Nothobranchius furzeri: one gene and its partner. The protein of the gene in region 1 binds, or shares a complex with, the protein of each later gene. Links are inferred from orthologs where the notes say so. Each region holds a gene or a part of one and is shown on either strand. Other genes may lie near its edges. The genes, in order: c17h9orf78 and ppp1r8b.

Region 1 (4,331 bases):
CAAGCAGCTGCTCTAGTTATTCCATCTCATTAGCTAAGTGCATCACTTTTAAACTTTAGTATGGTTCTTGTTTTAAAAAAACAAACCGAGATATATTTTTACACACTTAATAATTGAACAGCCAGCTCTAAAATACTGTAGACTTAGAGTGAAGCTAAAGCTGCTGACTTGTTTGAAAAACCAAACAGGAAATCACACAAATCTGGAGCTTCAACATTTTGGTCAACAAATGTTTTCAATAATAATTAGCAACGGCTCACATTTTCAGATGCCATTGTGTGGAGGAAACAGATGCAACTTTTTAATATCTTCGGTTCATCTTCTTAAACTTCTCGTAGTGGTAGTCATCCGTGGCCTTCTCGTTGTTTGGACGTTTGCGTGGGTTCGGTGGCGACGGAGCTACGGACAGACAAAAGAAACGAGTACAGGTTTTGGTTTCTGGAAAAAAGGAACCAAAAAGTGTTTTTGGTTTGTATCTGTGACTGTGTGGTCGTGTCTCGTACCCTCTGGGCCTGGCTTCTCTGTGTCGCCCACTCGCAGCGGTCTTGCTTTGGGCTCTTCTCTGTGTCTGTTGTGCCTTTGTGGTGCATTTGCATCCTCATGGTAGACTAAAAGAAAACAAAAGCATGATTAACAAACTTTTCTCCTCTAGCTGGAACGGATGCAGACAGCCTGAACTCACAGCGGTTATGTTGGACATAATTAACAGCAATATTCGTGGGAACAAACGACGTCCCGAGGTCTTTCTTCTTGTTCCTTTGCTCTGCCAGAAGTTTGGCTTTTGCCTCTTCTGTCTGGATAATGTTTTTAATCTTTGCACTGAGAATGAAACGACAGGGATTAATTTGAGTAAAATAAAAAGAGCTGAATTATTAAAGAATCTTCTGAATTTACTCAATGCCAAGGTCAACCTCCGGGATCCCACTCAGCATCTGATTGGACAACATCTCCTCTGTCTTCTTGGCAGAGTTCACTCGGATGTTCTCAGGAAGTTCGTACAGGTGGTCCTCTGCATTTTTCACCTTAATTTTCTGTTCCTCAGCCTCCACCAGGCCTTTCTTCTTTTTTAACTCTGTCTCAATATATTTCATCCTGTAAAGAAAAACACAATGGGAAATGTCCCACACGAACAACTGGATGGCAGCTACGTTAAGATTTTGAATACTAACTTGTAGATACTTAAATATTTAGTAACAAAGTTCATGTAATTCAAGAATTGAGATTGCTTTTCCAACTTTCTTTAGTAGAATAAAAAGCCTTTTCTTAAAATGCTGAATGAAGCCAGCCAGTAACATGCTAACAAAAGTTCCAACACCATTTCATCTCAGACAAAAGCAGTCTTTGTAGTTTGACTGATTTTACAGTCAACATTAACAGCTGGTTAATTCAGGGGTTGGTGCATAAATTGTTTTGTTGAGCAAAATTTGATTTCTGACAAATACTGACACTATTTTAGTTGTTTAAAGAGATGAAAACCCAGGTAAACACCAGTGTTATTTCTTGTCCAGGGCAGCCATTGTTGGACCAAACTTGTTTTTAATTTGTTTTCTTTGTGGAAATTCAACTTTATTATGTATGATGGAATATTTTTTGCCAGACGGAGGAAATCAACTGAACACCTTCCTTTTAGGGCTGGGCGATATGGCCTAGATGGGGCTGTCACATGTGTTAGGTTGAGTCACATTTTGGCTCAGGGTGGTACAGCTTCTTAAAGGGACATGAATGTTGACGACCTACACACACCTCTTAATTTTTTTATTATTGAATTTCTTGACATGAGAAAAATTATCTCAAAAGTCAGAAATTTCCGTTAGAGAGGAAAAAAACAGAGCACAATTTAAATAGAGGTTGGACAATGTTGAGTCTGAAGAGGAAATGATTATAATACAGTTTAAAGAAAAGCTCACATGTCTGCATCTTCATCCCTTCTGTTGGTCTCGGCGGAGAATGAAGTGCCCAGGCTGAGGTCGGTTTCATCTTCTGTCCTGTTAATGAATCATCCTGGATGAGTCAGTCATATCCGATTAACTGGATTTGGTTTAATTGTACAAAGCATTCAGGCAGGTATCTATGTTGCACCTGAGGGTGGAAAACTTGACTCACATGTCTCTATTCCTGTCTTTCACTTTCTTCATGTCTACAACTCCTCCCGTCTTCAGTTTGAAAGGATCATTCTGTCAGAAGTGATCAATAAAAAAGTAAACGTTCAACATGTTGCTATTCAACACACACACACATTTTTTTTTCCAAAGAAAACTTACATCAATTTCGACTTCTGGAGGCAGTTTCTCTCCCACCAATAAAGCTGTCACACTAGACAAAAAGTAAAAGGTGTAAGTTAATTCACATCCAAGCAGTTAAGTATTGACATTAAGCACAACTAATTGCTTCTGTGTGAAACGTGCTACATAATAAAGATGTCTTCCATTCTACATTCATATTAACATGTTACCTGACTCCGCTCTGTCGTTTCCTCAAACTCTGAAGTTCTTTAGCCTCTTCTACTTTTGATCTAAGAAAAAAAAATACAAAAGCACAAACATATTTAGGTAGGCAGCTTATTAAAATACAACTAACAACAATGGCGTTCTGTTACTTTAATTTTGGGTTAGCGGCTAGTTTGCTAACACAACATATATCTTAACAACTCGTTGTTCGAGTATTTTACCTGACTTCTTCTGTTGTTTCATCCTCCTCTTCATCATCCGACGAATCTTGTCTTCTTCTAAAATGCCTACCACAAGGCATATTTAGATAGTTTAACGTAAATATTTGAAGAAGCAGCGCCTTACTGCGCGTAAGCTTGACGCTGATAATTTCGGGGGGAAACTTTAACAGACGTACAAAAATATTCGTCACTTCCGGAAAAGTATAATCTACTTCCGTTCTTCTTGAAGGATCACAACCATAACAATCATGGCGGCTTATAAACACGTTAGCGGGTTGTTGGGGATTTCTGCTAGACTTTCACGACCGTAAGTGGATATTTTGCAGGATTTTACCTTCTATTGTGTTTAATTTTTTTTCTTTTACTTTTTGCAACATGTGAGTCATTTCTATGCGACTGTGTTTAAGCTTGTTGGTTTAGTGTGGAATGACGCAGACTAAACATTAGGTCTGGAAACGAGGAATGTTTCATTACGATGTTTTTTCCCATCAAAAATGCCCTTAAAGTAAAATTAACACTAAACAAACCTGCATAAATGTAATAAATTTTTATCTTGCATCCATCTTTTTGATCATTTTTATTTAGTAGGGGAAAAAATACAAATCACCAGAACAAATGTGCAGAACGCGTTTTTAAAGCGTGCTGAAACAACTCTGTCATCGCGCCATTGCCTTTTTATTAATGTTTTGCTTTCCTTAGTTATAGCATTTGTATTTGATTTGGTGTTCCTGTTCAGTGTAGGAGCTTGTTCGCACATCTTCTAAACAGGAGTTTACCCGTCTTATTATTGCCACATTTTAGTGACGGTAAAGAAATCGTCCCTACACACAACAGCATAATATTTTTTATAATAAAGAATGTTTTTTTTATATTACTGTTTATCTGTTCATTATTTTCAGTCTTGTTGGCAGTGGATGTCAGAGCAATGGATTCCACTGGCCCTCGCAAGCTACTGGAGTTTCAAACAGATGGCCACAAAACCCCTTCTGGACTGTTCCTGGTTTGTTTATTTGCTGCAACCTCTAGTGTGACTTTTTATTAAATAAGAGTGATTGTCTTTTATTGTCACGTTTTCCACAGTGATGTCAGATGCTTAGGTGTTGTGAGAAAATCGGGCATTCTGCACATGCAGAAAATGACCACAATTCTCTTGTAGCCCTTTTTAAAAATTTGCATTACATTTTTTATGTTACAGGAAGGTCCATGTTTGTGCAGACACAGGATACTCCAAATCCAAACAGTCTAAAGTTTTTGCCTGGGCGGACAGTTCTCGAAGAGGGAACCATGAATTTTGCAGGCCCTCGTGATGCTTACTGCTCACCTTTAGCCAGGTATTTCCTAATACAAGATTACTAATCTCATATTAACATATCAAGTTGTTTCCTTACTCTGAGCAAACTCTGTACCAGGGGGTACCTTGTTGTATGTTTGCCAATATATGCATATTGTATCCACTTAACTGAGAGAGGCTTGTCTAAATGGTGGAAGCAACATTTTTTACTGTCATCTTAAAAATGTAATAGTTTATATATATATACAGTTTATAAATAGGAAAAGGTAGTATTTAGCTTTTAGTACAAAGCAAAGGTTAACAGTATGAAAATAAAGTGCAACTATTATATATTCTTTGGTGCAAGACATATGAAACATCTTCTCTAAAAAC
Region 2 (4,417 bases), on another chromosome or scaffold:
TCTAGTATTTAAGGCTTTTTGCTTCCTTTCAACTTGAAGCTTAATAAACAAAGTCAAAATGCTGAAAAATCAACAGTAAAAAGCAAACAAACAAAAAAAAAAAGAAAATTGGAGATGTCGGGAAAAAATGTGGTGCAGTTAACTCATTCACTGCCAATGACGTCGTCATTTGCATTTTTTTACTGTTTGAGCATCGGCACGAGCCCCCGCCCTGAGAGAACAAACATCTCAGCCCTGAAGCTGATCTTCATCCGCATACGTCACATATCACGTGATCAGGAAGCAGAACATCCATGTGTTAGGAGATCGTTTTGGGCCGTTCCTGTAAAAAAAAGTGAGGCGCGAACCGGAAAAGCGTCTGCCGATCACAATTCGACAACGGATTATGAAAGAACGGATAATGCTCGAAACACACGGCTTCTTCCTGATGTAAGAGGTGAGTCTCCTCTTTGTTTTTGGTTGTTTTGGCATTGACATCATGCTAGCGCGCAACGTTCTGTGACTCTTAAAAAAAATCATAAAAATGGTGAGAAACGCTGGCAGCGAAGGCCGTTACCCCCAAATTCCACTACCTCCATTCCGCTCTGGTCCGGTCCGCCCCGCCTTCCGCAGCCGCTCGCTTCCAAACTCAATTTTTACTGGTACCCGCTCTACAACGGCTCCGCTCCGGTGCGGAGACCTGAGGTGGGCAAACAAGCATGCACGGGATTTTCGAGATCTTGCGATACAGTCCGAGCAATAAACGCGGAAGTTAGATCCAAACACCCGTTGTGTGGGAGAAGCATCGGCATGAACTGTTTAATCTGCCCATCATTTGTGTTGAGAGATCAGCAGTGTTTGGATGAACAAAGTGTGACTACTTTGATAGTAGAAACTGTATTTATGGCTTACTTTTGTGCATTTAAACTTCAGCCGCCACTGATAGTTGTTAAAAGTTGTTAAACCTGTGCATATGAAACAAAAAACGCCTTTTTTTATCGATTTATTGTGAAAAACGGAAGTTGTGCTTGCTCCTTTTCCTGTTGGGCGGTTGTGATTTCTGTCCATTTACTGCGGAGGTGCTCCGGCGTCCGGCGAAAATAGGATCGATTCTATTTTTGCCGGACGCCGGAACAGAGGGCAGCGCACTGCGCCGCATTGCCGGAGCACGGCCGCAGTAGTGGAATTGCTCTGATTGACTACAACGGGACCGATTTTGCTCCGGCGTTCGTGTCGGAGCGGAGGTAGTGGAATTTGGGGGTAAGTGATCAGGAAACGGCTGGCAGTGAGTGAGTTAAAAAACCAAACACACTGAGATCATTTCACACTGTGGCTAATTTGCATACAAATAATTCCATTAAGATGCCACAAGCGCAAAACAGGATGTCAAAACAAGTCAAGAGTAACAAGCGGCGAGTCAGTGGAGCTGATCTGAATTCTAACAAACCTCCAACTCTGTCTCTTCCTCCGGAAGCCCGAGCAGTCCTTTTAGCTCCTCCTCATCTCCTGTCTTACTGTCGCCGGTGCCAGCGCTTCCTTGGGTTTGGGGTTTTTCTCTGATGGTGTAGGTACGTGTTGACGCCCCGAAGGATATTGTAGAGTCGATTGGAACCTGCTGAGGCTTGTGAGGCTCAAGGCGAATGTGTCCGAGGAAGGTACCATGTGCTTAAATTGTAAAAAAATAATAATAATTAGGATTAATACATTAAAAGAGCAGAGTGACTGAGAAATAATTAAAGTGTTTGTGAAATCTTACTGCTATTAAGATCTATAAGGAAGAGCCTTTTTAGGTGTTTATGGTAGACTAGAGCGGCGTGAACACGCGAGCACGACTGATGGTCGATGGTGAAGTCACACCAGTCGGGGTTCCTACCAAACAGGTAGAACTTCTTTTCATCTATGATCAGTTTCTACAAGGAGAAACGGATGGTGTGAATTAGTAATGGCGTACATTAATGCATTTGTGCCTCTGAGTTATAACTCAACAGTGTTGCTTTCCACTGAAGGGCTTAAATCTCAGGGCTGATGTTGTTCTCGCACCTTTTGAAGCCATGCAGTCATAGGTTAACCCCATTGTGCAACACGCACAGGGCGGAGCAGACTGTCAGGCTTGTATCTGGTGCTTTTAACATTTGTACAATAGTAACAATCACATGTGTGTTCTGCTATGTGGAAAACAGAATCATTAGATGTTTAAAATAATAAGGAATGACATTTTATTGTGGAATTTGCTTATGTTTAAGAGATTAAACAAATCTGGATTTTTAACTTAGAAATTAAATAGAACTGAGATAATTAAAGCTGATTTTAAAGAGTCCAAACTAAATAACAGTTTAAATTTCCAGTTACCTCAACCAGTTTGTCTCCTTTCATCACGTCTAAGTGCAGTCCTGTGGGCGGTTTTCCTCCCCTATAAGAAACAATTAGAGACTTATTTAAACACTGAACTGATCTCAGAAAATACAGCAGTGCATAAATATATTTACAGCATATTTAACCATTTTATAATCTAATTTTAATTCATTTATTCAAACATTTAGCTCTTTTCACTCGAACCGAATACTTCAAGAGCATATCTGTCAAAAAATGTCCTGCTGTCACCTCTATACGTTTCAACTAGGTGAGAAACTTTTAAAATCAAGCCTTTCATTCATTTTCAAGCAGAAAGCAAACCGTGATCCGCATTTAGGCTAGCCTTGTAGGAGGGGTTAGCCTGCTAGCTCGATTGGATGCTAACGCTAACGAACTTCTTTCCTCTATAAAAGTTACAATTGTTAACGTAACAACGTCGTTTTGCTCGTTTGCACATAATCAAGCGCTGCAGTTGGTATTTTAGTACTTCAACATGTGCATTTTCTCACCATGATGGGCAGTCAAAAGGTGGACCGTCTTTGCTTGTTTTAGCTGCCATCTTCCCTCTACATGTTAACGATGCATTTTGGGTAATTGTCGCTTAGGAATGCTGGGAAATGTAGTCCGGTAATAGACCACGCCATATTAAAAAAAAGTAAAAGTACAAAAAACAAGCTAATATTTCGCATTTATAGATGTGGTTGTGTGTGGAACTTATATATTGTTGAGTTTATGATTAAATTCGGGTTTTAGAGTTAGTATGAAGTAGTCTACTAAAAATAATAAAGAAAAAAGTTCAGGTAAGTCACATTTATAGTTCATAAAAAACACTAATTTTATCATCACAAATCTACTACTGTGTGTAAAGTTGCAATTTGTTATCAAAAGAGAACATTAACGCGCAACAGGGGCGGAAACAGCTACTCACCTAATAATGATTAAATAAAAACAAATTATATAATTTCAGTCCAATTCTGTTAATATTAAAACAATAGACCTTAAATGATAAGTTTTTCTTTATACTGGAAAGATAATGTACATCATAACAACATAGTTTTGTTTAATGTAAACTGATTCTGTTTATATGTTTCAGACAGATGGAGGTGACAAATTTTACTTTTACTTAAGCAGCTTCTCTTCAGCCCAACAAAAACACAAATCAAGCACACGCAAGGGTGCCCCCAAGGGTGGCCAGGGGTGGCCATGGCCACCCCTAGAAAACAGCTTTTTAGTGCATTTTGTGTGACACAGCCAGATGTTTTTATTTTAAAACTTTTAACCTTTATTTAACAAGACAAAGTATTTCTTACAACTGTGGCCAATCCAAAGGTAGTGCCTTTTGACAGAAGGATGGGCTAAATTGCAAAAGTTACCTTTTCCACAAAAACAAAACAAAAACAATATTTTACAAGAACATCTAGATTGAGATGACTTACGGTTTTCTGTTTGAATAATTTAAGTAGCCCAAGACATTTGAGCAGATTCATTCAGATGATAATTTTAAAAGCCACTATTTTATTATTTGATAAAACCAGGCCATTTGTTTAACCAACAAGGATTTATCTCAAAGTCCATTTAGAAATGTTCATTAAAAAAAATTAACATTAAAAATTTGTTTGGTGTTTTTTAATGTTTCAAATAAGAAAAAAAAATGTCCTTTTTGTTTTAAGAGATATTAACATGTATTTGTCAAAAATGTGGCTTTTATAAAATTTAAAGTTCCTAAAGAAACCACTGGAGGTCTCTGAACTCCAAATTGCAAATTCTCAGTAAAGACCCAAAAAATAAAGTTTTGAAAAAGTTTGAAATGTTGGTTTGGAAACAGCGATACCACAAGCCTCCTACAGCATTTGTTACAAAGATTCAGCACCTAGAGTTTAACACAGAAAAGGGATGAATAAGTAGCCAGATTCGACTGACGCTTTGCTTATTTTCTCTTTCTGATTTGTAAACTGTGGGTTTGAGGGTCATAGGCTTCGGTCTTGTCATAGAAAAAGTAAAGCTGCCATACTTTTAGTTTCTCTTTAAAGCAGAAGGAAATGAGCCTGCAGTCTTTTTGTCCTTTTACAAATAAACTAATGCCATC

What was found.
Region 2: c17h9orf78 (region 1) and ppp1r8b share a complex: the UniProt entries of both Homo sapiens proteins name them as parts of the spliceosome. The link is inferred for Nothobranchius furzeri from reciprocal best matches to the Homo sapiens genes C9orf78 and PPP1R8.

Annotation. Positions count from the first base shown.
Region 1 is NC_091757.1:40,165,803-40,170,133, forward strand, and holds the start of c17h9orf78 (splicing factor C9orf78 homolog), read right to left. Parts: upstream 2,848-4,331; 5' UTR 2,749-2,847; coding exon 2,669-2,748; intron 2,513-2,668; coding exon 2,453-2,512; intron 2,314-2,452; coding exon 2,262-2,313; intron 2,175-2,261; coding exon 2,104-2,174; intron 1,986-2,103; coding exon 1,908-1,985; intron 1,093-1,907; coding exon 895-1,092; intron 820-894; coding exon 683-819; intron 609-682; coding exon 504-608; intron 400-503; coding exon 302-399; 3' UTR 1-301. Other genes in the region: NFU1 iron-sulfur cluster scaffold homolog, mitochondrial, read left to right, coding at 2,917-2,975, 3,568-3,668, 3,864-3,999. UniProt on the Homo sapiens protein: Plays a role in pre-mRNA splicing by promoting usage of the upstream 3'-splice site at alternative NAGNAG splice sites; these are sites featuring alternative acceptor motifs separated by only a few nucleotides. May also modulate exon inclusion events.
Region 2 is NC_091745.1:72,000,191-72,004,607, reverse strand, and holds the start of ppp1r8b (protein phosphatase 1, regulatory subunit 8b), read right to left. Parts: upstream 3,097-4,417; 5' UTR 2,891-3,096; coding exon 2,841-2,890; intron 2,390-2,840; coding exon 2,329-2,389; intron 2,105-2,328; exon of another isoform or gene 1,939-2,104; intron 1,890-1,938; coding exon 1,736-1,889; intron 1,645-1,735; coding exon 1,427-1,644; intron 1-1,426. UniProt on the Homo sapiens protein: Inhibitor subunit of the major nuclear protein phosphatase-1 (PP-1). It has RNA-binding activity but does not cleave RNA and may target PP-1 to RNA-associated substrates. May also be involved in pre-mRNA splicing.